Rattus norvegicus: one gene and its partner. The protein of the gene in region 2 interacts with the protein of the main gene of each other region in a biochemical or structural test. Links are inferred from orthologs where the notes say so. Each region holds a gene or a part of one and is shown on either strand. Other genes may lie near its edges. The genes, in order: Mycbp and Akap1.

Region 1 (12,306 bases), on a different chromosome or scaffold from region 2:
CCTGTGGGAAGCATGTAAATTACAATCAAAGGTAGCTGCAGCATTACACAAACTGAAAATGACCCAGACTAATGTGCAACCAGAACACACTAAAGCACACACAGCAAGGCAGCATTATCAGATAGGCATGATTGCATAGAAGGAAAACGTGGTGTCAGCGTTCACACTGGCACGCACAGTTGTCTAAGGCAAAGTGGTGGCAAAGAAGAGCTGTTTGTTCTCGATTTCTATAAAAGAGCAGAAGTGCATGGGAACCCATGCAAAAGCATTGTACATCACAGATATGTCCAGCTGTCTCCAGGAAATATACGCTGTCAAGAATGAGTGTGCCTACTATGCTCAAGTCCTGGACCAAGGAATAGCTCCCTGCTAAATCTTCTAGCTAAAATACAACCAGTACCATTATTCCTAACTGAGTAATAAATAAAATGCTGTCAGGGTGAAAAGTTAGGTGGCTCTTTAGCTTTTCTTCACGATCTACTTTGGATTCTCCTGCTTTAAGACCCAAAGAAAGTTATATTGAGTTTTTATTGGTGATTCTATGTATATGTGTTTATAACATTAAAGTGTGATGAGTGAATTTAACATATTAAAAGTTTATAGCATCTTTTCAGGAAAGATCATATACTATACAAGCTATTCAAGTGATACAAAACCAGTTTTCAGTGTCTTTTCAACTGAGAAGAATCCTATTCAGCACGCTTCTCCTCCTGAGGTGGTTCATACTGAACAAGCTATGGGGCAAAGACAGAGGATTTAGATGAATTTTATTTAAGTTGGGTAAAAAACTTAGTAATACAATGAAATTAGATAATATATTCAACTTAGTTGAGTCAGTAATCAATTTCTGTATTATCCTTCTTAAACCATTCACTTACTTAAGGTTGAGTACAATTAAACCTAACAAAAGCCTTTTTTGTATAAATCTTTAGCATTGCTGGGGAACTAAACTCACGCCTCAGTTCACGACTGAACTGTTCAGTCACTGCATGGTTCTGTTAGTATGGTCAGCCGATGGGAAGCCGATGTCTGACTTTAAAAGTGCCAGGAAGTTTTACATCAGCAACAGGGAGGCAGAGGCAGGTCTGCCCTGAGTTTCAAGCTATCCTGGTCTACAGAGCAACTACCAACTACAGATCTCAGCATCCTTAGTGATTTAAAACCTTGCCTTTTCTTTTATAGAAATTTGTGACTGCTTACAAGAACACTAGACTTCAGAAGACTTGACCTCTTTCAATTAGGTTCAGACTGGGAATTACATCGTGTGGTTCGGAATGTGATAAACCTCAGACTCTGATTGATGCTCATGTTTATGGGAATTTGAGCAAAGGCAAATTTCAGCTCTAGATAAAGTCGAGTACAGCTTTCTTCCGTCCTTTTGAGAACCTGGAGCTAGCATGCTTCAGACAATGCAGACTGTGTCTTAACAACGCAGTGGCCTAGACTGACCTAAACAGCTTAAGAACTTACTTTAAGCAGTATCAGCCAATGTCCCCACCTTTTCATTGATGTAGGTTCTCACTCCCTTTTCGTGACTATACTTGCCTATCCAACTTTTTATCGGTCTTGGGACTTTTCTAGATGAGGCTTAAGTTTGCCATGGATCTGACTGAAACTGATACTGTCCCTCCCTGCTACCCATTAGTGGAGTTTTGGGTTTAGTTGTTTACTGTGGTTTTATCATGCTACAGATGGAACCCAGGACCTTCTACTCATGCCAGAAAGACGCTCGACCACTGAGCTATATCCCTGGCCTGCAGTAAGGATTGGTCAGATAATCATTAGAGGCAAGATTACTTTTTAATTTGAATTTGGTTTTTAAATTTACCTTTGCTTTCAGTTTTTTATTTTCTTCTACAGTAGCTTCATATTTCTCTTTCATTTCTGCCAATTCTAGGCGAAGCAGCTCTATTTCTGGGTTCTCCGGGGTGGCAGCTCCTAAGTGATGCTTTAAAAAGCTGACATCAGTGTTAAGAACATACTCAGAGCAGGGTGGGCCAGGACAGTCACCACCACACCACAGCGGTTGTCCAGGGTCAGGTGAAGAGTCAAAAGAACTTTTCAACAAACAAAGTATTGAAAGCGCATTATATATGTGAATAAATAAAAATGTCAGAAATATGGCTTTTTCCCTTCAGAGATGAAAAGGATACTCCAGAGCACTGGTGGGCTTCTCTGGTTCTTCATATAAGGCTACCAACACTGCAAATCAAAGAGAAAGAACAATTAAGTCTCCAGTGTAGACGGCTGAAATATTCTGAAACTCAGTAAACACTGTCTGCCTGCTGTACGGTGAGCAGATTGCTAAGACTGTCCTGTCCATACAGTGGTGAACAAGTCAGACAGTACCCTTGCTAGCAACAAACTCATCAATCTGTCGTAAAAGATAAGGAACTAAGAGAATACTCAGCTGTAATAGTGGTTAGTGAGTTTTAGAATACTCAGCATCAGAGGCAGATCTGAGACCTAGCTGCATTTCAGATTAAATGGAAAAGCTCAAAGCATATACAAGGGAACCAACAGGTCAAGTATGTTGTGGGGTTGTGGGTAATAAAAGGAAAGATAGTCTGGGGCCAGACTGAGACAACTGAGAAAAGCTTAGTTGAATTTTGATCCTAAGGACTACAAACATTATTTCAACAGTTTGAAAGCAAGGAGGTAGCAGGGTCACTCCTGAATGCTGTATACAAGCCTGACTTAAGTGGGACATGGAAAATGGCCCAGAAGAAAGCCGGGTACCCATACCTGTACTCTCAGTACTAAGGAGGTGAAGCAGGGGACTAAGGAGTTCAAGATCATTCCTGGAAAAGCAATGAGCTGGAGACCTGAACTACAAGGAGCCCTGTCTCAAAAACAAAAAATCTAATGTAATGTACTTGAAGACATTTTAGGTAATTAACAGCATTCCATTTGAAACGTTCAAGAATTAAGTTTCATGTATGACAAGCTAGGCACCAACCAAAAAAACGTTACCACAGTCAACATGCTCAGACTGGCATTAACAATGTGCTAGCACTTCCTGTCAACACTGTCTCTCACCTACTGAACAAGGATTCAGTATGCAGGGGGCAAGGTCTCCACACTTGTGCTGAGGACAATTTGAAAAACTCTCCTAAGGCTGTGTATGCTTGAGTCAGTGTGTTGCTGAGACAGGTAACCCAAGCTGACCTACAATTCACTATTGTACTACCAGCTAGCCTCAAACTCATGGCAATCCTCCTGCCTCAGCACCCCCCCCCCCCCGTACAAGTGTTATAAAAATCTGACAAAAGTAAAATATGCAACTTCAATGTGCATAACTTGAGAGTCCAAATTAAGAAATCCTGTTGTAAACCAATGTACATGTGCTGGGTTTTCGAGTTTTAATGACAAAGTACAGACAATATGAAAAATGTCAAGTGAGCAAGCACTTTTACACCAAAATACACAGTTTTTTGAGAAATCCACATTTATATCGCAACTATCTGACCATCTCTTAGTATGTTACATTATCTCAAATCCCTACTACTACTTTTTTGCTTTAAAAAATACATTTAAAAGTGTTTCTTCATTTACTTCCACTGATCTGTACGGAGTCTTAGTCATTATTTACTTACTTTTAAAGATGGCATCTCTCTGTGCAGCCCTTGCTGTCCTGAAACTATGTAAACTAGGGTGGCCTTGAGCTCACAGAAACTGCCTGCCTCTCTGAGTGCTGCCTCCCAGGTGCTGAGATTAAACACTTGCACCACTAGGCCGGCAAGGATCTACAGGGTGTGACTATTAGTGCTCTTGCCTTTTCCTTCCGTCACTGCATCCTCACTTCCCTCCAGCTCCCAAATTCCTGCCTTGGTGTCTGCATGGCTGGAGCCACAAAGTGTTAAGTTTTGTGTTCTTTTCTGTGGAATAATTGTGCTTTTTATCTGAAGAGAATTCAACCAAATCATATTCGCTTTTGCTTTAGAAGCTAAATTTACTGTTATTACAATATTGGGGAGGAGGTAGAAATCAGAGGACACAGTTCAGAGACCTATACCCTCTGCGAATCAAACTCAGGTCCACTTGGCTTGGCAGCAAGCACCTTCACCTGCTGAGCCTTCTGGCTAGCCCTTAGCAGCCTAGGTACTTAGAGCCTTTTAAAGTTTGCTACCCTGCTCAGAATAACTAAAATGCTATTCCATCCATTCACCTTCTTCCTGGATGCTTTTGTCTAGAAGGTTATACAATTTGGGTTTTGGTTTTGGGTTTGTTTGTTTTTTGTTGTTGTTGTTTTTGCTTGTTTGTTTGTTTTTTGGCTGGTTGGTTAAGTTTGGTTTTTTGTTTTTAAGATGTAGTTTTACTCTTTATCCAAGGCTGGTCACAGACTCAAGCAGTCCTCCTATTTCAACTGGTCAAGTGCAATTAGAAATGAAACAAGATGTCGACAGTCTTCTGCATATGCCTCAAACCTTTGAGACAAGGTCTCCCAGCCTGGAGCTTCCATCCTTTTGGCTAGGCTGGGAACACACACACACACAGACCGCCTGGTTTAGTACATGAGTGCCGGTATCTCGACTTTAGTCCCTGTAGTTGTATATCAGGTAGTCTTAACCTCTAAGCCATCTCTCTAGCCTAGCTCTCGTTTACTGTTTTAGAGAGAGACAGGTCTTGATATGCGCTCCAGGCAAGCAGTGAATGCCGATCGGCCTTCCCTCACTAGAGCACTAAAAACATGTCACCATGCCTGGCTTCTTACATTGTTTTGATGTTAAAAACAACTTTAAATCCTCTCTGAAATGTTGCTGATAGGAAGATGTAAACGTGTATAAAGCATCTATGTTTGACCCTTTAAAATTGGTTTCCATTCTCTTAAACAGCCTGCATTCAGTTATCTCCAGTTGCTGTCCATCTGCCTTGTACTGCTCTCGCCTGTCCACTCACCGCATCCATTTCTTTCCCCCTGCCCTCCCCACACAGATTATTTGGGATCAAAAGTGTATCAGTCTTTATCTCCAGAGGTTGAAATGTCTACTCATGAATAATGAGACATTTTGGGGATGAGATCCAAGCGGAAACTTGAACTTCACTTACATTCCATTCGGACCTCATCCACATAAGATGAACATGGTCTTGAACAAGTACATACTCCTAGGCTCCTGAATTATGACTGACATAATTTATGTAGTCAAGTATGGGATTTTCCACATCAATGCTCAGTAAGTTACAGATTTGGGAGCAATCCAGATTTCAAATTTTATACTTATCTATACTTTAAATTCTGTTCACGGTCTGCCCTCTGCTACTCCATGTAAAATGTCACACCTTTATCCTGGCTATGGTTTAAATTATATGTCAACCACTAGCTGGCACTGTGTTACAGTGTGTGTCCCTAACAAGCTCCCAAAAGCAGGGACATGTCTGTGGCTGTGCCCTTGGTACCCAGAACACAGGCTGGAATAAAATCATCACATCAAAGAAACATGAGGGGTTTTTACCAGAATTCCAAGCCATCTGTGACACTTCCGATGCCACAAAGTACAGTGGTCTCACAGAGCAGTTCCTTATATGTTGCTCACATCGACTTGCAAAACTACATAAGGAAATTAGTAGTAATTCTAACTTGTCAGTTCATCCATGTAAAAGAATTAAAAGCCCTGCTTTCTTCTAAGTCCTTCCAAATTTTCCCCTAGCTTTTGTTTCACTAAAAAGCAGATACAAAATTATTTCCCAGACACCTCCTATTCTCAAAAGGACCAAGGGTTCAATCCCTGCCAGCCATTCCATTCTATTCCCTTGGAAACACCAAGCAATGTTGAGTTCTTACTCAACATGTAGCAGGTATTCAATATACTGTTAAGGACAGTTTAGCTGTATTCTCTTTCCGGGAATCCTTGGGTTCAATCACCATACCCTCTAACCTTACTCCCAGAAAGGAAGGGATGCACTTTAAAAGTAATCTTCCATTGTTTTAAAGTAAAGAGTATAGCCATTTTTATGTGCTCTGAAGCACTTTTCAAATTGTAATTCCACTTTAATTATGATATCTACACAAAGTAGGAATTACTACAGGCTGAAAGAGTTGAAAAGCCACAGCCCAAACTGTCTGTGATACTCTCCAGCTTCGGGGACTAGAGCCACTTAATAACCCACTTTCAAATCCAGTAATTTTCTTAGTTGCCTTTGTCCAAAGGAAAAATTTGTAAAATCCCGCACACTATACGGCGGGAGCAATTGGGACCTCAAGGTCTCTTGCTAACGTGTCCACTGCGACTGCTCGAGGGAAAGCAACGGAAGTTGGAGAGACTTTGCAACAGCTGCAAGAGTTTCAGTCCCGGGCAGAGAGCGACCACGGGGGTGAGGCAAAGTCCCGCGGCCGGTGTGCGCTCAACCCATGGGACCCCAAGGCCTCGCTAGTCCCCGGGCGGGCCCCACCTGGTCAAGAGCGCGCGGACCTTGGCTGCAGCCGCCCGCCTCCGCTCACCTTTCGTCAGCGTGTCCAGCACCCCCGACTTCTCCAAGTACCTCCGGAACTGCTCGCGCTTCGAGTCGGCGGCCTGAGGAGACACGGCGGGTCAGGGACCGGAGCCCGGGGCCGGAGCAGGAAGACGGCGCGCCCCGCCGCCGGCCCCAAGCCCTGCACGCGCCCCAACTCCCACCCGGCGCCGCCCGCACGCCCCGAGCCACGCCGCGCCCCCCTCACTTTGTAATGGGCCATAGTGACAGCCACAGCGGCGTAGCTGGCGCCGGAGACACTGGCTGGCGGGCTCCAAGCCTCACTGCTCCTGCGCGGAACGGCGCGCGCGTCTGCGCACTGGGCAGGCACGGGCCGGGACCGCCGGGGTGTGGCCTGTTTTCATGGCGACCGGGACGCTGTGTATCCTTGTCTCCTCGGAGCCCAGAGAGACTGCGTGCGCCTGCCCTACGCGGTTCCGGGCAGTCTCGCATCTTCCTGTTCCGGTCGCCGCGGAGATTCGGTTGCCTAGCAAGAGGCGAGGTTTCGGTAAAGCCGAACGAACGTCCTGTGAGGCCCAGTATGGGTGTGTCCGGGAGTTAGATGCTTTAAGCGTAGCATCTCTCCACGTGGTAGTAGTCGCGCACTCCTTGTCTTTTAGGTCTTTGGTGGGGAACCGGTGTTTCAGTGTTTCTTGGCTCTCAGAAAAATACCCAGCACAGGAGAGGTGAAAGCAAAACAGGAAAAAGTTCAAGGTCACCCTGAGCTATATAAAGAGTTTGAATCTCTCTTGGACTCCATGTTCAGGGTGCTCATGTAAGCCCAGTACGGTTTGCAGATAGCAGCTGGCTGGGAGAAAATTTATCTCTACAGTAATGTTGGATTAGGTGAAAGACCTCTGAAGTCGTGATTCTTTTCCCTGCCTTTGTGTCATTAGTTTTCTTTTTGTTTTTTTTTTTTTTTTTTACCCCGTTGGTAGTTAACATTAAGTTCTTTTCCATATATTATGCATGTATTTATGTTGAAAATAATTATAGGTAGTACTAAGTATGTATGTCTCTCTAGTTCCTCCTTCGTTCAAAAATGCTTATCCCACTTTACCCATCCAGAAGCCACCCTACATGCAGAAGATGAATTTAAAATGTGGCTATGCTGCTGGGTTTGTTTGTTTTGTTTTGTTTACTGAGAACATTTCTGGGTGCAGAAGAGGGCCCTTTGGTGAATTTGTTGTTGTGCCTGCTACTTGGCTAGATATTGTTTTGATGTCTTTGAATAGAAGTCATTCTATTCACCGAGCGCTGGTGGCTTACGAATTTAGTCTCAGTGCGAGGAAAGGAGAGGCGGCTGAATCTCTTGAGTTCGAAGCCAGCCTGGTCCAAGATGACCAAGGCTACACAGAGAGACCCTGTCTCCAAAACAAAACAAAGAATTCATTGTGTTCTTGTTTCAATGTAAGGCCCTATCCTCACCTTTTTGGGGCAGGGTATTCATGCCTCGGTGCGGTTGGAGATCCAAGACTCACAGGACTTGCTCTCCTTCTGACTCAGTAATTGAATTACGATTGTCAGGCTTGGCGACAAGTGCCTTTACCTACCATCTTACTGGCCCCTAGCTGCATAGTTTTTAGACTGTTTAAGAAAAGCGAAACGATGGCTCTATATTGCACAAATAACGAAAATACTGTCTTTTCTCTTGGTCTTAAGAAAAAAATCATATTCGGTCATGAGAAGCCACAGAACTTAAACTCATGTGGAAAAAAACTGTCCAGTCATGAACCCAGCTTCAACCACCAACTGAAGAGAAAGTACAAAGCACAGTTCCTCTCGATGGGTGCTGCCTGCCTCCCTTTGATCTTGTCAGTAATGCCCTTCCTCCCTGGTCCAGTCGCTGGTCTCAGGCATTGCAGACTCATCCAGTTTTCTTAGTTGGGCTTTTTGGGATTTTTACATTTGTTTGTCTGGGGGGGAGGGGTTGTTTTGAGGCAGGGTCTCACCATGTGTGACCTCCTAACTCAATCCCAGGAAACTAAGTAAGGCATTGTTACCTTTTCATAGTGCTACCTCCTAATACTGCCAGTTGTAACCGGCTTAATTATGGCAAAGCATGGCTCCCCTTGACCTGGAGAGAGGCTACTCCACACTCCTGTACATAAGGAGCTGGATATGAGGTAACCAACAAAAGCTGCAACCGCATCGTATTAACTGCAGCAAGAGTTAGCTCCCTCTAAGTACGTGGTGATTCTTTGATAGAACCTCATGCTTACTACATAAAGGTGAGGACAAAAATAGAGTTGAATTAATGACTAGCGGACCCTACCATAGCCTGAGACCACCGCCATCTTTAAAATCAACAACTAGTGACCTGGCCAGTAGACAAGCCAGGTCAACAGCTGACAAGGGAAGACAGAGCTTCACCCTCCCCCATCCCCTCTGAGTGAGCAACAAATGAAGAGTCAGTGAATGTGAATGGTCGGTCACCTCCTTGGTTGGGAACAGAGAAACATGTATAGAGCAGGTAAGCTCTCCCCTGACTGAAGGTGATGCTCAGAGAATTAACTCTCAATAAAATTCCCTTGGTGTTTGTCCAGATTCTGCCTTACATCCTGGAAAAAGCCCCTACAGTGTAGCCCTGGATTTTTTTCTCCTTTCTTAGGACCTCCTATCGTGGAGCCAATCTAACCTTTTCCATAGTCCTCTCTTGGGCCCTCTCTGGAGATCTGGCTCTTGTCCCAACCTCTGCTTTCTTTAGTAAACTAAAATCCTTCTTTTTTTAAACTTTTACTCTTTAATAAGCTCTTAAAAAAAAAACAAAACTCATCTTAGGTAGACCAATGAGCTGACTCAGTGGATAAGGGCACTTGACTTGAAAGCCTGATCCCTGGAACTGTCATAGAGAGGAGATCAAAGTACTGCAAAGTACCATCTGACCTCCACATGTTCTCCCAGCACTCTCTCTCTCTCTCTCTCTCTCTCTCTCTCTCTCTCGCACACACACACACACACACACACACACACACACGTGCACAATAAATGTAACAGAAATATTTTAAAATAAAAGTGATTAGAAAACCTTCACTACTAAGAATGGCAACATGCGCCTTTAATCCTAGCATCTAGCATTCAGGAGTCAGAGGCAGGCAGATCTCTGCGAGTGAAAGGCCAGCCTGAGTCACATGCTGAGATTCTGTCTCAAACAGAACAAACCCTTCGCCCTTTATCAGCCATGAATGCCAAGTTTGCAGACAAGGACTCAGAGCCATTGACTCACTGGGTGCTTCCTGGGACTGTGAGCCTCTGGTTCCTGAGTTGAGCCCGCATGAGATGAGGAAATCTCCTTTGCTCTCCCTTTTTTCTTCTCCCCCATTTGCTGACAGATTGTAGCTTGCCTGCCGTATGGGTTTTCTTTCAAAATCTAATGGTCAAGCTTCCTTATAAATCTTAAATTCTTTTATCAACAAGACTAAGAACCTGCAAATGGGGGGTTGGGGATTTAGCTCAGTGGTAGAGCGCTTGCCTAGGAAGTGCAAGGCCCTGGGTTCGGTCCCCAGCTCCGAAAAAAAGAACCAAAAAAAAAAAAAAAAAAAGAACCTGCAAATGGGAATCCTGATACCCAGTAATATCTCTTGCTTAACTCTCTGGGATATAATCTGGACATCATACCAAGGACAACCCAAAACCCTGTCTGTCCAGTTCTATCAGCCTTTTATTACACTTACCGACTTTTGCATAGATTATTGTAATGAAAACCCAAAACGCAGTTTTGAAATTAAGGCATTGACATTTAAGTATCTAATAGTAGCACAAGATAATGTATTATCAGTCCTGGATATTTTTTTTTGAGTGGGAGGGGAGGTTGAGACAGCCCAGGTTTATATCACTGGTTGTCCTAGAACGTGCTCTGTAGACTAAGCTGGCCTCGAACTCCCAGAGATCTGCCAACCTCTGCCTCCAAAGTGCTGAGATTACAGGTGTGTGCCACCACTATCCAACTTGTTTTTCTTTTTAACTTATAAACTTAAAAAAAAAAAAAAAAACTTAGATTTGCTTAGGTCTTAGGAATTGGAAGGAATTTGACCTGAATTTATATTTGTTTACTTATAGGCTGCTTTTTAAACTCTAACATATCACACCTAAAAGTGGCACACAGGAGCATACATGGATAACAGAATACCACATCAAAGCATAGCCTGACAGCTGGACTCATAGACAAGATGGCACGACCAAGTTAGCTGCCAACCCACCTGTCTGTGCCTCCCATCTCGCTGTAGGGGTTCTGGGACCATGCATGCTTGCTACCACACCTGACTGTTTCAGTGAGTTGCAGAGATCAAACTCTGCAGGGCAGTAGGCTTGTGAAGCAAGTACTTTTACCCACTTAGTCATCTTCCCAACTGCCAGAGGCCAGCTCCGGAGCTCTGGTTCTCTCTTGAAGGTAGCTGAGGGGGAAAGCGTGTCCGCAGGGACAAGATTTGGTCTTGCAAGATATTAGGGTTGTTTTCTATAATAACATACGCATAGCTTGACTTTAAGTTACTCTGAAGTCAGACGCTGCAAGCCTCTGGATCTACTGACACTTGCTGCTAACAGTAGGGAGATTAGGTAAAGGATTTATTTCTAGTTGCTAGGAGTTCCTGACTAACTTGGTGGGTTAACTCTTTGTAAACCAGAAAAGAAAGAAGGATTCACTCACACAGAAAACACATACACTTGGTGAAGTGGGAAATGTCTACATCACTTTTTATTTATTGCTTTTAGCTTTTTATGTTTTTTAAACATATATTCATACATACCCACTCTGGCTGGGCCCAGCCATCTGTCTTATCAACTCCACAAATATTCACGTGTGCTTACATACTTACACATATACCTTCATACATAACAAACGCGCATACATGATGGATGGATGCATGGGTAGATGGATGGATGCATGGATGCATGGATGCATGGATGCATGGATGCATGGATGGGGCAGAGCCACCAACCCACCAACCTTACTTCTTTGGCCTTTTTATCCCTGCTTAGAAAAAAGCTCTTAGAAAATTACCTCCGATATCTCAGACATGTTACATAAAATGGGAGTTGCAGAAAGATGTCTACTTTCAGTTCAAAGCAGTGTTTTATTCTCTATGCTTATCATACATTTAAGGCAACAGTTTTTACATGGCCTGGCCTAGTCATAGTGCATACCTGTGGCTTTATCCATGAACCTAAATATTTTAGCCTTGAACACAAATTTGTTGCAAGCCTATTCCTCTTTTTAGTATAATTATGGAAGCTCGTATTTCTTATTATGCAGACTTTACTTACTATTATGAGGAGTGGGCACATTCTATTCTTGATTCTAACTTTATTACATCTTTCTAGCAAAGAACTAAGACCATCTCTAAAAATTTTCTTCCTAAAATTATTTTAATCAAATCAAGAATTCTATAAAAATCATTCATCCAAACGGCATTAATTCATGAAGATTCATCTTTATGTTGATCTGCAGAAAATCTGGTCAACAGGGTGGGATAATGCCCAGAGATTATTATATAATAATGACAGGAAAGGCATATCAGCTCCAAGAAGCCATCAGCAGGTGAAGTCTCTTTGGGACCTTGCCTCATAGAGCCCACCCATCACAGACCATGCAGAAGCAGTAGGCCACCTCCAGGAAGGCTACCTGCTAGCCTTAGCCTATCCTAGGCTCCTGACACTCAACCCTACAGCTCCTTTTGCAGACAAAGGCCAAAAGGTAGGCTAGTTAGTGTCCATTAAACAGTGATCAGAGAGCTCAGACTAAGGTCCACCTATATGGTGAGAAGACTTCCTGACATTTTAAAGAACATGAATTTTTTCTTTAGGTTTTTTTTCTTTTCCAGGGGGTGTGGGGACTGAACTATTTGTGATTCCTGT
Region 2 (12,260 bases):
ATTCCATGGCAGTCTGTAGGCCTCAGGCTGGGAGGCACGGCCCTCCCGCTGAAGGGCCTCTTCACTCTGAGCCTTGCGGTCCTTCAGTAAGAATGAAAAGGAGGCCTCAGATCCACAATCCAGGGACCCTCACACTCCCATGCTTGTTACCTGGTTTTCTCACCTCAGTAATCACCAGTAAAACACTTTAATGGAAAAAAAAGGGGGGGGGAGGTTCACATGTCCTGATCATAACAAATCAGACATAGTCCAAAGGGAAGGTGAGTCAAAACCAAAGGCTCAGGGGTGCTGTGGAAGATACAGGTGTGCAGTGAAGATGGCGGACAGTTGGATCAAAATGTGTTTTAAAATGACTGGCTTAATGTCACAATTCAGAAGTCTGAAGGCAATCTAGGGGCACACACACATGTAATTCTAGCACCCAGGAAGCAGAGACAGGATTGAAGTTTGATGCCAGCTTGGCCTACATAGCAAAACTTCACGCAATCTTAAAAACACTTCCCGAAACATGCCTTTAAAACTACTGCGTGTGTGTGCGATGTGGACATGTGGAGGTCAGAGGACAACTTTGGGAAGTGGTTTTTCTACGTCCACCCTGGATTTTCAACTGGGCATTGAACTCAGGTCTAAGGAGCCATCTCCCAGCCCATAATCATGTTTTTGACACATTACCCACCATATAGCCCAGGGTGCTTCAGTTCTCCTGCTTGTATAGCAAGACCTGGCCAATCTATAGCGTTTACAGTAACGATCTGTGTAAGGGTGCTGGGACTGGCGGACGGTCTAGTATTGCTGTCTGAGAGAGAAGCCACAAGCCAGTTACTGGTATGGACTGGAGACACAGAAATAGAGACTGCCACAGAACGTCCACACCAGTTATCAAACCGTGGACTTTCTTTTTTTTTTTTTTTTTTAAATTATATCTTTATTTTCTGATACGAGCACACTGTAGCTGTCTCCAAACACACCAGAATAGATGGCTGTGAGCCACCATGTGGTTGCTGGGAATTGAACTCAGGACCTCTGGAAGAGCAGTACAGTGCTCTTAACCGCTGAGCCATCTCTCCAGCCCCCCCCCTTTTTTTTTAATGTATTTATTTTTATTCCACGTGGAAATGTGGGCACTGGGAAATGAACCCAGGTCCTCTGGAAGAACAGCTGGTGCTGTTAACCGCTGAGCCATCTCTCCACCCCTTAATGTTACAACTTTTTTTTTTTTTTCCGGGGGGGCTGGGGACCGAACCCAGGACCTTGCGCTTCCTAGGTAAGTGCTCTACCACTGAGCCAAATCCCCAACCCGGACTTTCTTGTTAATGTTTTTCTTACACGATTTAAGCGAAAAAATATCAAAATTTCCTTCTTTTTAATTGCAGTTTTTGGGAAACTGTCACAGTGAGGAGTCAGGTTCTGTTTTTAAATAATTTATTGTTTTATGCACATTAGTGTTCTGACCACCCACCAGTCCGTGTGAGGGTGTCGGGTCCCCTGGAACAGGAGTTACAGTTGTGAGCTGCCATGTGGGTTCAGGAAATTGAACCCCATCAGGTTGTCTTTCTACTGTGTTTTACCAGACTGCCCTAGACATTATCAGCAGAGTTGATTTTTCCTTCTAGGTCATCTTACATAAAGAGCACTCACCCTTTGGCTCAGATGTTACAAACTTTTCCTGGCTTGATTCATACTTGACTTTTAAGCCTTTCACAGAAGCAAAACCATCAATGGCCCTGTATTCCCCTGTTCCCCTATGATCTAAAACTATCCCTCTGGCCGACCATTTAAGTACTGGCATTTGTCAGGGGACATAAACCTAGGTGAGCATGGGGTTCCTTGCTACTTAGATAAGTGGTTAACAGCACTTCGACTGGGGAGTGGCTGGCCTTGAGACTTGGCTCTGCTCTGTTCTGCTTTAAGTAGCTCAGCCAGGAAGGGTTCCTGCCTCACAGGCTTGTGGATTCCGTATCACCACAGCACGGCACAGATCACTGTGGGAGTCCTCTAGTGTGACGGCTGTAAGTGACTTCAGTTCTCAGGAGCTGGATGCTGGTCTTGGCATAAGCAAAGCTATACTTGCAGTAGCAGGTAACCTAGAACCTAGGCTCTGCAGTGACCAGCTACTCCTGTGTCTCTCAGGGCTCAGAGGATACTAACGCCAGCAGTGAGCTGGAAGAAACAGTACCATCGAAGGGCAGTCCCCAAGATTCAGTCCCCGAGATTCCACCCTCACCCCCAGCAGTTGGCTGGATCAGGCTAAGATGCCTTTGATGACCCCTAGTAACAGGAGTCTCAGATAAACTAACTTGGAAAACCCCAAACGCCTGCTCCTCTGAAAAGTGTCTGTCTTTTGTAGGGTTCATACCTTCATGATTGGCCCTCCAACCTCCTTTTCTCCCGAACTCCCAACCACGCCCCGTAGAACCACCCTCCAAGGATGACTGAGACCTTAAGATCTGAGAGACCGAGAACCTACATCCTCCCCAGACCCTATGGCGTTGGCCAGAGGAGCCTGTGTCTCTATCCTCTACCTTCCACAGCCTTTCTCTACACCACACCCTGTGTTCTCTCAATGCAGAGGCCAGAGGAAGCTGGGCTGCCACCTGGTGGGAGCAGGGGGAAGAGCAGGCCAGAATGTCTTCTAAGGTTTTGGGTCCTCCCTTTCTTTCACCGTGGCCCTTGAGAGCCACAGCTGGACCCTCTACCACACCACTCGCCACTACTCCTTAGTCCCAGCCCCAAATTTCTGCCACCACTGAAGAAAAAAAAAATGGACTCAAGGTTATAGTTTATACAATTCAAAATTTATGTAAAGTCCATGATACTTAAGTTATTCTTAAATTGCACAATGCTAAAGACAGCCTATAAAAGTCAAACACACCACTGCAAGGTAATCCAATGAAGGTTTTTTTTAAATGCGTACAGGAAAAAAAAATCAAATCCCCAATGACAGTCTCCCATACAGCTTCCTGTCTGCACAGAAGCTCAGGGCCCCTGGCTGGAGCAGCAGGGGAGTTAGTCCCACTCCATGGGATGGGTGGACTTGTGGAAGAGTTTTAAGTTCCCTTTGTTCTCCAGTGTGTCTTGTACAAAATATTACATTTTTAAACATATTTACAGAGTTTGCACAAATAGAAAATGGTTACAAATTACAACCAGGCTTGGCAAGATAATAGCTTCCCCTCTCCCCACTCACTGGGGTCAGGTGTGACAATCGCTCCTTATTTACACCTATGTTTAAAAAAGTCTTGAGTTCCCAGAGACCCGGAGGAAGTATATAAAAACTGCTAAACACCGTCAACTCATCCAAGTGAGCCACACAGGGAATCCATACCGATTAGTCCGTGTCTCACTCCCTGAATAAAGACTCTGAAATTGACCCTCTCAGCCAGCCCCACACCCGCCCTGGCCTGCCTGCTGCAGTGTGTGGGGTTTGGGTGGGGAGAGGGGAACGGATGGGATGGGAATGGGACAGCCTGGCTGAGAGACCTCCCGCCAGACAGCCTCCAGCCAGGCTAAGCCAGCTGGCTGGTGAAGCGCCCGCCACTCTAAGGCTTTGAAAGGATACCCAGCTCCTCCTGGGAGGAGTCTCCTTCTCCACAGGACTACAGAATGGGGAAAGAAGACTCAGTGAGAACAGTGTTCGTTACTCTGCTGTTAAATCTCTGTCCTGGGTGCCAAACCCAATCTCAACAGTGCAAAGAAGACCGAAGCAGCCCAGGAGCCACGGTCAAAGGCTGGCATAGCAGCTGTCTACCCACTGTGCCAGGCCCCGCTCCACCAGCGACCGGTTTATCAACACCACCTGGAAAAGAGAGTTTTCTTGAGAATTCTGCCTGGTACCTAGGGGCTAGGTCTCAAGCAAGCACATCTAGCTTCATGGCACTACATGACACTAATACCATCACTCCCAACCCTGATGCCCAGTGTCCCCTGAGTGGCACTGGCCCACGATCATGTTGTCTAAGAGTGGCCAAAACTAGTTCCCAGTCAGCCTGTGCTGCTGACAGCAGCTTGGGTAGAAAGGGGCAGACTCACTTCATCTCCAACCACACTCCATAGCTGAATCAGAGGAAGGCCAGTTGCACTGTAGCTTGTCACCTGGAGGGACATGGGGCATAAAAACATCTTAGGCTGTACACACTTAAAACTTGAGACGAGTTTTACCAAGTAACCTAGACAGGTCTCAAACTCAAAATTTTCCTGCCTTAGCCTTCAGAGTGCTCCAATTAAAGGAGTGTGCCAGGCCTGGCTTATGCACTTCAAGCTTGCTGGTCACTCCAGCCCCATGACCATAGGGGTCTGAAGGAATTTAAGTGTCCGATCTCAAGAAGTCGGGACACTTAGCTGCACTAGGCAGGAGACTCCCCTGACAGCCCCTGGCTGGTCTCCAGCCTCCTGCCCCCCTCCCACACCTGGGCCAGTCTCCTGCTCTCTGCCATGCACCTGGGTCAGCCTCCTGTCCCCCACCCCACCCCCACCCCCCCACCCCCAGACACACCTGGGTCAGCCTCCTACTCCCCCACATACACACACACCTGGGCCAGTCTCCTGCCCCACCCCCACCCCCCACCTGGGTCAGCTCCCTACTCCCACCACACATCTGGGCCAGGTTTCTGCACACCCCCCAAACACACACACACACACATACACACCCCTGGGTCAGCCTCCCCCCTCCCCCCCACGCCTGGGCCAGCCTCCTACTCCCCCACACACACCTGGGCCAGCAGTGCTGTATTGCCTGTCATCTCACTCATGGCTGCGTCTGCCTCGGGTGAAAAGTGATCATCATCTAGAAAAGAAGAAAAAGACAAAACAGTTCAGACGCCCTCTGGGGCAAAACAGTCTCGTCACTTATAGGCTGCTCCAGACACTGCAGACTGCAGGACTGTGTCTAGGACAACCACCTTACCAGCTGAGTCTATGCCTCTGTGACTCACGTGGGTAAACACAGGGGAGCCCCAGCTGCATGTGCCCCCCAAGGCATAGGGCACACAGGATGGGGGGGTGAACACATTTGTGTACTTCCAACCAAACCCGCAACGCCCAGAAGACAGAAGGGCGGGCATGTCTACTTTATGGGCAAAGGCTGATCCCCAAAGGGCAACGGGCTCCCACATGCTGGATTACAATTAGGCAGCATTCTAGTCCCAGCAGGGCCCAGTGTGGGTGGACGTCCTCTAGTGGGCAGGACTCAGGTGGCTCGAGTATAAAGTGACAGATAAGAGAACAGGCCAAGGCAGGGAGCAGGAGGGTGGGAGGAGAGCTTTAAGCTGTGGTGGGCAAGTCTTGTGATGAAGCAGGGCTATTTCCGTGGGCTGGCCAGACTGTTAGGTGGACAGCACAGAGACGGGTGGGGAAGAGGGGGAGGGAGGGAGCCTGCCGGTGCTCTGGCAGGACTTCAGCCGCTGCACCACACCCCCCTTTTTTAAAGAAAGACAGCAAACTCATGGCAATGCCCCTGCTTTGGCCTCCTGAATACTGAGATTTCAAGTGTGCAGCATCACGCCTGGTTACACTGAGGTAAGTCTTGAGCACTTAAACGGCTCTGACACAACAGGATCTGAAGGGGAGAGGGCAACGGGTCAGACAGACTTACCTACAGCGTGAGAAGCTGCGATCTGACCACTTTCTACATCAGTACACATGTGACTCCCACAGCCACCCTGACGTGTGAGCGCCACCCTATCGTGCCAGAGGACATGAGCCCAGCACCCGTTCTCTAGCAATGCTCTCGGTCTTAGACACGCAGGTCAGCACAGTCCCCACCCCACCCAAGGAGTGGAGATTGTGCCAAGCAGTGTGCTGGCCCCGAGCCTGTCCCCTCTGGCCACATCCTAAAAAACCTCGTGGAACCGCAGGCTGGCAGCTGGGTAAAGTGCAAAGCAGCAGACCCTGAATGAGGCCACAGCAGCTCTGGCTTCGCCTGGGGACTTGCTAGAAATCTGAGATCTTAGGCTACTGTGTCACTGCTCCGCACTGGCCCCTGGTATTCTCAGACCCGGCGGCTGCTCCCTGGCGTTACTTCTGGCACTGTAGGGCCATATAGAACTAACACTAATTTATCTCAGCGGTGGCTGGTTCCAGTGTGCACCACACCATGTTAGCCTAGCTACCTTCTAGCCCCAGGGGTCCCTCCAGTCCCATTGCTAGTTGCCCCGGTCAGCCCTGGCCAGCCAGGAACTCTGGTCCCAGCTACCCGGTAACATCAAGACTCAACAAACTGTAACCCAACAATCAGATTTATGTGTTCAATAGTCAATCTAAGATACATCCACAGAATAAATTCACTGCCAATTAATAAAGATAGAAATTGCCCACCTAGACAGGATAAAATTGACCTAGACCACCTGGATCGGAATCATCTTCCTCCACTGTCTCTATCTTGATTCCCCTCATTCCTCCTCCTCCCTTCTTCCTAGACTTTTCCCCGCCCACCCTTCCTTCTCATCCAATGATAGGCTTCACCTTATCCTGGACCCGCCTTGCTGCATAATGACATCATCCGACACTGGGCCTCAGTCTAGACTATTCAACCAGAAGCTAACAGTGACAGCAACTGTCTACACAGGCGATAGGCGAGGGCCCCAGGCCCCAGTGTTCCTCACCCCCTCCCCCAGCAGCTGGGGGCTCGCCTGTTACCTGACAGCGGAACCACACTGTCCAGAAGGACTTCTGCTCCTTGGAATGGCAGGGTCACAAAGTCAGACCTGGAAAGGCAAGGAAGGGATGGGTTTAACATGGCCAACAGCATCTGACCTCAGCACAGCGACACCTACAATCCAGGGTGACGAGCACACCTGACTGCAGATGGACAACTGCTACAGCCTGGCTCAGAGGGTAAACTCGGGTGTCTCTCACTCCACATGCCTGGCACTGGGGCTCCTCCCACTGAGCGGCTTCCTGGTTCTGTGAGGCTGAGGCAGGTCAGCACCTTTGTCTACATCTGATGTGAACACAAAGTTGGCAGCAGGAGGGGAAGACTCCAGCCCCATCTGAAGCTGGGCAGAACTGAGCCATGCACCCATGCCATGCAGGGGTGACTTGTGATTGGCCAAGGAGTCCCACTCACCTAATTTGCCGGAGCACGTCGACTTTCACCCTCTTATATCCACCATAGTCCACGTAGCGAATCTCCACCTCATTGGTCTCCTCATAGGAGGCCACTACTTGGGCTCGCCACCAGGCCCCGTCCGCACCAGGGGCAGCGCAGATAACCGTTACTGCAGGGTGGGAGGACAAGTGTGTGGGACACGTCTGGCCTAGGGCAGGGCTGTGAGGGCTACCCTGGTCATTGCTCCCCACCTTCCCACATTGTCAGAGGCATGCATTTCCACAGGGAGGGGACAGGGACAACACGAATCCTCCACAAACTCTCTCCCGGAGCCCAAGACAAGCAAGGGAAAACCCAGGACATGGGAAATCCAGCTCAGCACATCCCCAAAGCTACCCAATCCTGAAGGACCTTCAGTCTGGGTCCATGACTCTGAGATGTAGCCTAAACCTAGTACAATACAAAACTCACTGAGCAGGAGTGAGGGCCTGCCCTATGTGTGTATGCATGGACGCGGAGGCCGGATATGACCTTCCTCAGATGTTGTGTCATTCCTCAGATATTGGGCCTTTTAAAAAAAAATGCTGGCTGGTCAGTGAACTCCAGGAGTCTGACTATCTCTGCCTCCTCAGGGCTGGCGCACAAGCATACTATACACAGCTTTCCTTCCTTTCTTCCTGTGAGAAAATCAAACTCACATCCTGTGACGAACATTCACTAAATTACCTCCCAGCCCTGGGCCTAAGGAAGTCCCCGGAGAGAATCAAGCACTGCTAAGCTTAGTGGCCCAGCACCTAGGACCTGGTCTACCTGACTCCACAACAACCCCAACAGAGAGCCTGGCAGAAGGACATCCTAGGTCTATAGCTCACACCATTGAGCCTCTGCCTCACAAGTACAGAGTGCCCCAGGCAGCCGAGCTGGGCAGGGTCAGGTACCGATCACGGCAGCACCTCTAGCATCTGCTGCAGCTAACTACACCTGGTCCTGATGCAGGCGGCAAAGCCCCAGTGCAGCTAGCTAAGCTTCCACTCCAGTTTGAGCTTGATCTCGGGCTAGATTACTGGAGAATCTGATGAAAATTAAAACCCCATTCTCCCAAAGGGGGGAGGGGGCTACAGATAACTTCAAAGCCCACGAGGAGACAGGAGGCATGTTTTGCATTTAGTCCCCTACCCACTGATATAACAACAAAGGCACCAGGACACCCCAGCCCTGTTCAAGCTGCCTCAACAAGTCCCTTGTTTGAGAGATAGCGACTCACCCAGACCACTGCACAGGTGACAAGCTACACCCGAATGCCCCACATGACACTCAGCATCTCCACTCTACTCCCTGGTGGGCAAGCCTGGGTACCACTCGGTATCGCCCCACTTAGAAGACGCAACACCCAGTCTGGAGAGGTGGTTCTGTGGTTAGGAGCATGTGTTGTTCTTGAAGACCTAGGTTTGATTCCTCGACCGACATGGTGGTTCACAACCCTCCATAACTACAGTTCCAGGGGACCCAAAGCCTTTCTGACCTCCATGGGCACCAGGCACACATGTGGTGCACATACATACATGCAGGCAAAAATACTCACGAATAACATAAAATGAATGAATCTAATCTTAAAAAAATGTTTAGGTGGGGTTGGGGATTTAGCTCAGTGGTAGAGCGCTTGCCTAGGAAGTGCAAGGCCCTGGGTTCGGTCCCCAGCTCCAAAAAAAAAAGAACCAAAAAAAAAAAAAAATGTTTAGGGTTGGGGATTTAGCTCAGGGGTAGAGCACTTGCCTAGCAAGCGCAAGGCCCTGGGTTCGGTCCCCAGCTCCGAAAAAAAGAAAAGAAAAAAAAATGTTTAAAAGAAGACGTAAAGTGTCAGGGCTATGATGAGTCCACCCATCAAATCGCCACTCCAATCCTACTGCTTTGGCCGGTCAGTGAAAGTACGAGCTAGCACTGGGCTAGCCAGAAAACTCACTCCAGTATAATTCCATAACGACACAAGAATTTAAGGATGCTGTCACACAAGGGAGCCTGAACAGTCTTTTCCTGATCCAGACCAAGGCTGACACGGGCAACCCTCCTTGCCTACACGTCTTGGCCTGACCAGGAGCCAGGACTGTCCCTGACTCTCCAGGCAGCACTTACTTTCCACTGGGGTGGGCAAGGTGGGGATTCCAGGCTGAGAGTAACAGAGGTACATCTGCTGGTCCAGGCTGCGCAGTGCGTGGAAGGTGGGGTGTGTGTGTTGCTGTACAAATAGGTGCCCAGCATTGACCTGGTTGACCACGATGACTTCCACAGTGATACCATCAGGCAGCATGAGCTGGAGAAGGAAGAGGCAGCCAACACTATATCAGTTATTCTCATGTATGGGGTACGTCCCGAAGCCCCAGGGCAAGTCCAGGAGCTGGCACAGTAACATGGCACCCAGATAACAGAGGTCTGTGGGCTGTTGCATTGTAATACCGAAACCTGCCATTAGAGGCAGCATCACCTCGGGATAAGATAAGGGAGACCCCTAACCCAAACTAGGCAGCCAGAGGCCAACTATATATGCAGTGCTGACGACTCCTTGCACAGGCTGGGCAAGGGTCTATCTCCTGGAGCATGCAAGCAATCAACCCATCACTCACTCCCTCCCTCCCTCCCTCCTCCCCCTCCCTTCCACTCCTTCTGGAATTTTTAGTTCATGCTCACTGAGTTCCCTTGACTTTTTCCTTTCTTTTTAAAAGATTTATTTTATTTGTATGGATCTTTTGCCTACACGCATGCACACGCATACATATACACACATATGAGTGTGCATGCACAGACCATGCACATGCCACCGCCATGGATTCCCTGAAACTGTAGTTATTAGACAGTTGTGAGCTGCTGTGTGGGTACTGGGAATTGAACCCAGGTCCTCTAGAGGAACAGGCAGTGCTCCTAACTGCTGAACCATTTCTCCAGCCCCCTTCCCACTTCTTCTTTTTTTTTTTCTTTTTTTCGGAGTTGGGGACCGAACCCAGGGCCTTAAGCGCTCTACCACTGAGCTAAATCCCAACCCGCCCTTCCCACTTCTTTTGTTGAGTCTAAGTCAAAGAAAGCAAGTGGGAGTGAGCAGTTTGCTCAGAACAACATGCCGGAGAATCCTGGGTGAGCTGCTTCAGGCCTCTTTGGACCTACAGTTGACTCTAGAGCTTGGAAGAATTTCCCTGTCTCAGAAAAGCAAGCAGCAGCCTCAAGGCAGGTCCCCTGGTGTCCTATTCAGTCCTCTGTGCCTTCTAATTGGCTCCTAGATCAATCGCATCCTATCCACCTCCACCTCGATTCACTTTGGGGTGGGGTCTGAATGTGTGCTCATCTGCTAAGGGGCAGTGCAACAGGTCCTAGCAGAGGCTTCTAAGAGCCCCATGCTTGGCACCCTTTTCCCTGACGCTAAGCTATGGCAACAAAGCAGGGCTCTGAACACAGGAAGGTTTGGACTGTGCCTTCAAACCTAGTGGCCCCAAGAACATCCTTTACTTCTATGGGTCCCTGTAGCCCTGCTGACTTCAAAACACCTGGAGTCTCCTCCCCAGTCCCACTGAGCAAGCAGAACACAAGGGAAGGAAACCACCCACACTAGCCATTCCATTATTAAGGAAGAGAGGCCACAGCCAAGCCTTCTGAGAAAGCCTCTAATTCAGAAGTAAAGCATGGAGTGGAGCCTACCCCATTCCCTAATGCCCACAGTGGAAGAACCCTACCTCCACCCCCTACAGCACAAGGGTCTCTGGTTGGGAAAGACAGAGGTGAAACACCTACCATCCTAAACAAAACCCGAAGGGGCAATCTTCCTGAAGCGGCTTGCTCAGCCTCTGAAATGCAGTGAACAGTGTGTGGCCCACAGAACTGAGCCATCTACTCTCAGCAACAAGGGGCCCAGCAAGGGCCAGGGGCAGGCCTGCTCATCGCTCTGGAGACAGTACCTTCTCTTCTGCCAACTTCTTGGGCTTCCAGGCTAGGGACTCTGCATTTACCAACTAAAATCCAGGCAGTTTCTGAGGAGAGGCAAGAGGAGGGAGTCCTTTGCCAGGGCCACTATTCAGCCCAGCTGACTACAAAGAATGTAGCAGTCCATCTAAGCTCATACAAATCCTTATTGGCAGACCCTACCCAGGCCTCCTCAGAAGTCCCACACCCAGTCACCTAGCTCAGTCTTCCATAGTCAAAAGCCCAGAAAAAAGAAAGCATGCCCAGGGCAGGAAAGGAAGTATAATCCTCCTAGTATGGGTTCAAGAGGCCCTGGCTTCTCACCAGCACTCTCTCCTGCCGTCAGAGAAGACACCGGCAGAACTGAGTGGAGGCCAGAGCAAAGAGCACACACACCCACTGGCCTGCTTAGCCCACGCCAGGAGCCTCCACTGGGTAAGAGTCAAGAACTGAGATCCTGTAGAGCATGCTCACCCACGATGTCATCGGCAGGGAAGGCAGTGCCAGAGAAGGCAGCGGTGGTGCATAGATATTGGTGAGGTTCAGCTCCTTAAACTTCTTCCCAATCAAGTTCAGAGCTTTGTCCACATGATGCTGAGAGCCTACAGGTAAGGACAGGACACAGCCTCTGTGGGTAAAAGAAGAGTGACAGCAAACACAAACCCACCCTCAGGCCTCTTTGGGATTCTCGCGTGCAAGGGTTTCTAAGGTGCCAAACACTGGCTTTGCGTTAGGAATGAAGTCACTTAAATCCACTCCCCTTTGGTCCCCATGCTTTGAACACACCAAGAAGCTGGCAGATGGGAAAGGCACAAGTGGCCTCAGCCAGAAGGTACCTGTGACTGTGAGGGAAATGTGGATGACAGGCACTGTGACCCAGGACCCTGGCCCTGTCACTGAGCACCCACCCTGGCTAGACAGAGACATGGTGCAGAGGGGCAGTCTCCCACAAGCACCCGAACCGGAGGAGTCTGTAGGAAGACACCCAGCATGCCCTCTACCTAGAAACCCACAGTTTCTATTTAAAAGCTAAACTTCCAAATGGACAGCTGCAACCAGGAAGCTACTGCCTTGTGTTGAATTCAGGCGAGGGAGCCAAGCACAGGGCACCACCGCCACTGACCTTCTATGTGGCAGATCTGGATGTTCTGTGTGTAAGGCAGGGTGGAGATGTAGATCTTGGCACCAGACGTCTGCTTCAGAAAACTCACGTACCGTCCCTGCTTGCCAATCAGTCGACCAACTAAATGCTTCCAGGGAAAGAGAGAGGTAA

The links.
Region 1: the proteins of Akap1 (region 2) and Mycbp form a complex in vitro, tested with the Homo sapiens proteins (2 studies listed by BioGRID). The link is inferred for Rattus norvegicus from reciprocal best matches to the Homo sapiens genes AKAP1 and MYCBP.

Annotation. Positions count from the first base shown.
Region 1 is NC_086023.1:141,415,165-141,427,470, reverse strand, and holds the start of Mycbp (C-Myc-binding protein), read right to left. Parts: upstream 6,745-12,306; 5' UTR 6,674-6,744; coding exon 6,659-6,673; intron 6,513-6,658; coding exon 6,440-6,512; intron 2,203-6,439; coding exon 2,154-2,202; intron 1,959-2,153; coding exon 1,829-1,958; intron 735-1,828; coding exon 690-734; 3' UTR 1-689. UniProt on the Homo sapiens protein: May control the transcriptional activity of MYC. Stimulates the activation of E box-dependent transcription by MYC.
Region 2 is NC_086028.1:74,115,459-74,127,718, forward strand, and holds the end of Akap1 (A-kinase anchor protein 1, mitochondrial), read right to left. Parts: intron 12,238-12,260; coding exon 12,111-12,237; intron 11,616-12,110; coding exon of another isoform or gene 11,590-11,615; coding exon 11,462-11,589; intron 9,354-11,461; coding exon 9,176-9,353; intron 7,215-9,175; coding exon 7,064-7,214; intron 6,702-7,063; coding exon 6,634-6,701; intron 4,784-6,633; coding exon 4,710-4,783; intron 4,093-4,709; coding exon 4,030-4,092; intron 3,797-4,029; coding exon 3,722-3,796; 3' UTR 2,774-3,721; downstream 1-2,773.